Linked DNA regions of Yarrowia lipolytica. The protein of the gene in region 2 interacts with the protein of the main gene of each other region in a biochemical or structural test. Links are inferred from orthologs where the notes say so. Each region holds a gene or a part of one and is shown on either strand. Other genes may lie near its edges.

What was found.
Region 1: the proteins of YALI1_E24793g (region 2) and YALI1_E12711g form a complex in vitro, tested with the Saccharomyces cerevisiae proteins (2 studies listed by BioGRID). The link is inferred for Yarrowia lipolytica from reciprocal best matches to the Saccharomyces cerevisiae genes CKB1 and ELF1.

What each region holds. Positions count from the first base shown.
Region 1 is NC_090774.1:1,269,243-1,272,734, forward strand, and holds YALI1_E12711g (uncharacterized protein), read left to right. Parts: upstream 1-1,921; coding exon 1,922-1,924; intron 1,925-2,498; coding exon 2,499-2,846; downstream 2,847-3,492. Other genes in the region: YALI1_E12703g (uncharacterized protein), read right to left, coding at 1-1,083. UniProt on the Saccharomyces cerevisiae protein: Transcription elongation factor implicated in the maintenance of proper chromatin structure in actively transcribed regions.
Region 2 is NC_090774.1:2,477,907-2,481,029, forward strand, and holds YALI1_E24793g (uncharacterized protein), read right to left. Parts: upstream 1,427-3,123; coding exon 644-1,426; downstream 1-643. Other genes in the region: YALI1_E24762g (uncharacterized protein), read left to right, coding at 1-243; YALI1_E24797g (uncharacterized protein), read left to right, coding at 1,779-1,952, 2,002-2,502. UniProt on the Saccharomyces cerevisiae protein: Regulatory subunit of casein kinase II/CK2.

The DNA.
Region 1 (3,492 bases), about 1.2 Mb from region 2:
GAACACATCGTCCTGAGTGTACAGGTTGTCAGCCAAGTAGATGGGCAATGCGGGAGACGATCCGGTCTTGAGGTAGACGGATCGCACGCCATCAAAGCCGTTGGGCAGATCGGCAGTGAACTGGTCAACCACGGCGTAAACGTTGGCGGCAATCTCCTTGGGTGTAAACAGAGTTGTGGCCACTCGCACGTTTGTGTGGTTGGACTGGCTCTTGAGGTACCAGGTGGAGGTCATGATGTTGGAGAGGCCCTGCTGGGTGGCCTCGACATCAATGTCTTCAGTCTCGACCACTCTCTCGGCCTTGGACTTGATCAGAGTCTGTTTTTCCTCCTTCTTGTGCAGCACGGTGATGGGCAGAGGCAGCTTGACGGCTCCATTCTTGTAAAAGGTCTTGCCCAGGCAGAAAGGCATCTCCTCGGTGATGTCCTCGTCAACCACAAAGATGTCGTGTGCAGCAAACAGCTGTCGTCGGGCCTCGTAGGGCTTGAACTTGCCTCGCAGCTTCTGTGTTCCAACCACTCGTGACAGAGCGGGGGTGGTGGCGCCCTTGAGAGCTCGCTTGTACGAGTTCTGAGGGTTCTGGGACAGCAGGCAGATGGAGGGCTGCTCTGCACTCTTGGTCCACAGACCGTGGGGGACCTGGACCAAGGTGGGGACCTGGGCCTTCTCGGAAGACACAAACCGCTTGGAGGTGATGACCAGGTAGATAAACTGCTCCTCGTTGTCGTCGGCAAGCAGGTTGTTGGCGTCCTCTTCGGCCTGCTTTTGGGTGAACTTCAGCAGGGCCTGGGCAGCGTTGATTGTGTTGTCGGAGGATGCGAGAGGGCACGACGAGGTCTCGGCGGTGGACACGGAGGATCGTCGTTTAGTGGGAGTGGCTTTTGAGGGAGTATCGCCCTTGGTAGGGGTGTCAACAGCAGCCTTGGCTGACTTGGTGCTCTTAGGAGTGCCCTTAGGAGTGCCCTTAGGAGTACCCTTGGGGGTTCCCTTGGGGGTTCCCTTGGCAGCGGATTTGGGAGTGGCTACCTTGGACTTGACGGGAGTGCCCTTGGGGGTTCCCTTGGATGCGGATTTGGCGACCATTGTTGGGTTGTGTAGTCTGGTGTCTGGGTGTGGATCGCAGGCAAAATAATTTTGGCATAATCCTAAAAAAATTTAAGAGCTGCAGATTTTCAAACTCAAACTGGCGGGTGGATTTGAGCAGAGCCAATTGAGGTATTATCAAAGATTTTGACTGGGATTATAGCATTTGTGAGATCATTAATTCGCATATATACTTGTTCTAAATAAAACCCACTTTTTCGCTTGTCGATCCGACACCTATTGGTCTAGATATGGTGGTCCTGTTCTCACTACTCCCTGTCGTCTATAGTTCAACTGAACGTTACTCTGACTGAAGTCCGACTACCATTGGGAGGGCATATCGAGTAGAGGAATGTGTCGAATGTGTCGAATGTTACGAATGTGCCGACAGTGTCTGGGTGGCGTTCTGTGTGTGTATTGTGGCGGTGTTTGTCTTTTAATGGGACGGTGTGATCTATTTGGAGGTAAAATTTTGAAGAACTCACTTAATAAACGTTTAAGTATAGTTGACTCTACTTGACCAGTTCAGTTGACTATAACTTTGTCCCAAGTAAACGTCAACTATGACTAAGTGAGGAAATCTACATGTCAACAATCTACAAACTGTACAGTACAACGGATTTTTTTATCTAAAACTCTGCTGACTAAATTAAACGGTCGTTTCGGATCACCTGATATCTCACATTACTCTCCAGCTACCTTCATTCACCGTCTTGATCACCTCCTGGTCGATTGCGATTGCCCTCAACGTTGCACCACGTGACTTTGAGTTTCGATACAATATCGCAGAATCCAAGCTCTGCAGAGCGTCTCTATCATACACACAAAAAAACACATCATGGTGAGTACGAGTGCTGGAGAGAAACATATGGTTTGGACAAACGACTGATTAGTTTGAGAGCAACTACAGAATGTGGTATCATCGGCAATAGAGGGACTTCAGACATCACTCTACGCGATGACATACATGAGACGCATTACAAGGGTGGTTCGAGACATGACACGAACGAGGATGTACTTCCGGCTGGTTCGGTTCGACCATCCCATAGGAGTGTCTTCCTATGAAGTCGATTCGATACTATCGGCTTCTCATCAGCGACTGTAGTGAAGCACGACGACATGGCCTCACCGAGAGGTTGACCCTGAGGCCCCATTGAACCGTGTTGGTATTTATCGTGGTGCTCATCTGACTTTTCCGTTCGGGTTATCCACAGCCGCTGAAATATCTGGGCGCCGCTTCAAGCAGGCACGAGATGGTGGTCTGGTCACGGTTTTTTGGTTTTGCTACATTGTTCGATTCGCCGCTCAACATGCTTCTTTCATCAGGTCGAATCTAACGTCTGGTATGATTCATGAACAGATGTGCCGCGACCACTCCACCTACTCTCGCTCGTTTTTGACATCTGCTAACACAGGGAAAACGAAAGTCTTCCTCTGCCCCCGCCAAGAAGGTGAAACAAACGCTGGCAACCCAGTTTGCATGCCTGTTTTGCAACCACAACGACTCGGTTGTGTGTTCAATGGACAAGAAAATGGGCATTGGCAGCCTATCGTGCAAGGTGTGTGGCCAGTCGTTCCAGGCCAGCATCAACGCTCTGTCTGCGCCTATCGATGTCTACTCCGAGTGGATCGACGCCTGTGAGGCTGTTGCGGAGCAGGAGAAGAACAAGGATGACGAGTTCATTGAGAAGGACGGAGGCTATGCTAGTGACGACGACCACGTGCCCAAGGAGGAGGACGATGAGTTTTCCGATCTTGAGTAAGGCGGAACTCACAGGGCGAACAAACAGTGCATGTATAAGAAAAGAATGTATATTAAATGTGGATGGGGTGGAAGGGGGGCATGCTGACTTGCTGTAGGAATGGAAGGGTACCCAAAGAAAGGGCATGAGCCGCAGTGTCTAATACTCGTACAATTGGACGAGGACTTCTTATGGCATCACTAGTATCTACAGTACAGTATGTACGGGTACGAGTACGTACCCATACATTGTGCAGCTGTCAAATACAGTACTCATTTTTTGTACAAAGTCCGAATAATTGCTCCGGAACTTGTCTGACAACTCTTGTCGGGCCATTTTCTCTCGGTGCTTTCTTTTTCCATTAGAGCATGTTTACTCATCCAGTACACGATCCCTGATATGACAGTCATGATAGGGTTGCGATGTTATTGAGAGCGGCTCGAGTTTCGGGATGTCCAATGCTACAGTCATTAGAATACTGTACTTGTAGGGATATGAACGGAGTATATATGTGATCTATTCAGCTTGTGACGTGACAGCTACGATACAGCAGAATGGTCCGGCTCTACACCAACTCTCCACAAGCATGTCCCTCAACAGGTGCGCCGCTCACTATCGTACTTGTAGGGAAACCAAACAAGCGGTGTCTTGTATATGCGATCAATTA
Region 2 (3,123 bases):
AAGTGGCCCAAGTCTGCTCCCTTGAACGCCACCTTCTGGCACAATGCCATCCAGTACATTGTCAACAACAAGACTGGTCGAGAGGACTACCTGCGATACGAGTACCGAGAGAGCCCTTTTGTTCCTGACGGAAGCTCCCCCGAATACATCAAGAACATGTACTGCTACTTTTCCTCCGGTACTGTTCCTGCCGTATACGAGTGTCAGAAGCGACAGAACATTACCAAGGAGATTTGGATTTAGTTTCCAGGGGCTATGGAGGGAGAGCAAGAGAGGCTTGGATATATTTGCATGAGGGACATGGAGGAGAACTACTCCACAAGTACTTGTTGATTCTACCATAAACGGTAATTGACGTATTTTTTTTATCAATAACAATATATATATTTCCTTTTCAGTAATTATTTATAACCAATTGTATTACATGCGACGAGCTAAGGGGAGGGGAGATTGTCGAATGTGACTCATCTCCTTACTGCCATGGATTGTAGCTGTTATAGCAAGTCGTTGTAATCAAACGGTAAAGTTAAGAGAGACTTGGCGGCCTCTAAAAGTAGTCAACTGATGTGCTTGAACCGACTACTAGAACCCTTACTCTCGGCTGTCGTCTCATAGTCATTAAATACATGTTCCACCTTTATGCTCATGCCCGGTTCTCCTGGTCCGTCTCCAGCTTTACATCTCCATCATCATCCTTTTCGTCGGTTCGTGGTGGGGGTAGTTTGTCCTCTTCATCCAGAACACTGGGGTCCTCTGGGTACTGTCGCAGCCACTTCATCCTCGGGCCGCTGTAGCTCATCTCGTTGATGCGGAAGCCAAAGAGCTTGAGCTCGTATATGTTTTTACGCAGGGGAATGCAGTTGCGCTCGACCTCGGGGAACATCTTGAGGAAGAGTCCCACGAAGGAGGTGCCGAAAAAGGCTCCGTCGACGTTGAGGTATCGAGAGTTGGGCGGCACGTAGACGTCACAGCAGCACGGGCAGTAGAGCCGCACAGACTCGTATCCGGGCAGGTCGTGTCGGCCTGTGGGCAACAGGCGTGTTCCGTCGCAGTAGTATCGTGGGCAAGTGCCAAACTGGGCCTCGTCATATTTTTTGGCCATAATCTGCAGTCCCGTCTTGGTGAGTAGGAATCGAGCGTGTATGAGGCCATAGAGCAGTTCGGCCGAGTGTTCAAACATTGGGATGGATGGCACCTTGAGCGGGTCTTCGGGCTCGAGATCCAGAATCATCTCCAACGCCTCCTTGTAGTAGGGCACTAGGAACATGAGGCCGGTCAGGTTGAAGTCATCTTCGATGAAATCCTCAAACACCTCCACAAAGTAATCGTGGCCGGTCGACGAACAGTAATGCGAGATCCAGGTCTCGACCTCCTCGCTCTCGGAAGAAGGGTCTGTCATGTTGTATTCGAGTAGTTTGTCCTCCATATAAAACCCTCCGTGTTGGGGTGGCTGTAGAGTGAGGGGACGGCGGTCGTGGCAGATGGTAAAGAGCGTCGCAGTGTCCCTGTCGTGTGCAGTTTCTATGTCTGTCGGTTCCAGATGTCAACAAGTCAGGTAATGCCACCACAGATGATGGTGAACGGGTAAACGCGCGCTTTCGTCGAGCTTGGTGGTCCTGTTTAAATTTTCGAACCGCTGCTCCAACTCTCAGATACAAAGAACCTCCCAACCTCCAAGTCACAGAGAAAAATAGTGAACTCTAATGGGCGTAGTAAGCACACAACATTAGTGAGCCCTCACGACTGCATTCTCGATTCACATACACACAACAAACGACATGGACGAGGCGATCATTGTGGATGCCGAATTTGTGGCCCCCGTGGGGACCACTGCTGGCGAATTTGTGCCGATCGATCGAGCCCCTGCCGCTGGACTGCTCTTGCTAGTGGCGTTTGTGGTGCTCTACGCCAAGGTCATCAGCAAGCTGGGCAAGCCGGCCATTCAGGAATTTGTGAGTGCTTAAGGAGTGGGAGTGCCCCAAAAACTTGTCGCTAACTCAGTTGTGGGAAATCATTACGAGAATCGTACCATCCAAGCAGCTACGAAGAAGAAAAGAAGCTCAGTTGAGAGCAATTGAGGTGCATACCCAGAGATCAAATACCAGCTCACAGGACCAGTTTGCAAAATGGGCAAAGTTGGATCGAGAGTACGGAAAGCTCAAGGTGGAGATTGAAGACATCAACAACTCGCTGACGGCCTCTAAGGCCCGGTTCTTCACAATCATCTCGTCGGCCATCTTCCTGTCAACTACCGGAATGAAGATGTTCCTGCGAATCAAGCACAGAAAGGCAGCTATCTTCTGGCTCCCTAAAAACGCCTTTCCCTACCCAATTGAGTACATCCTATCCTTCTCTTCTGCTCCTCTTGGGTCTGTCAGCGTTAGTGCATGGCTGATGATCTGTGACGCTGCCATGGATCTGATTGTCACCATTTTTGTGGCTCTGGTTGTCGGAGTCATTGGCATGCTTCGCAGCAACAAGGTCAAGCCCAAGACGGCCTAATTAAAAGGTATACTGCTATAGTTCATTGTTATTGATAGATATGAGGGTGAGTGGATTATACCAGATCGATGGGTGTTGCCTCTTATTCACGAGCTCCAGTAAGCTACTGTGCAAGTACAGTACCTGTAGAAGCAGTTACTCCTATCGAAGTTGGAATAGCAGTGGATACTCGCGTTAAAAAAGTGCAATACTTTTGTAGTACCCGTAGACGTAGAAGTCAAGACATACTAGAGCTATACTGTAGTTTCTGCACGTGATCTGAACCGAGGTCGTCATTGTGTTCTATAACTCACCCAGACATCTCTTGTCACAAGACTCTTTGTACCAGTACATTGTGAGCTCGTATCTCGCATCTCGCATCTCGCATTAAAATAATACAGTCGAGATTGGTGTGGGCTTTGTGCTTCTGGTGTACACAAGTACCGCAGGTCTTGAGATATTATGCCGCTGTACCTGTTCTAGGCAGTGTAAAAGCTTCTAGTGAACAGATAGGCAGGGCTCGGTGTTCTGCGACGACAGGGCGGCTGCTTTGTTTATAGCCTTCCCGTCGCCCCTTCAAACCCCCCTTCCTTGAGAGAGACATGATGATTTGAATAAAAATACGGAGTGGCTTGTAATCGC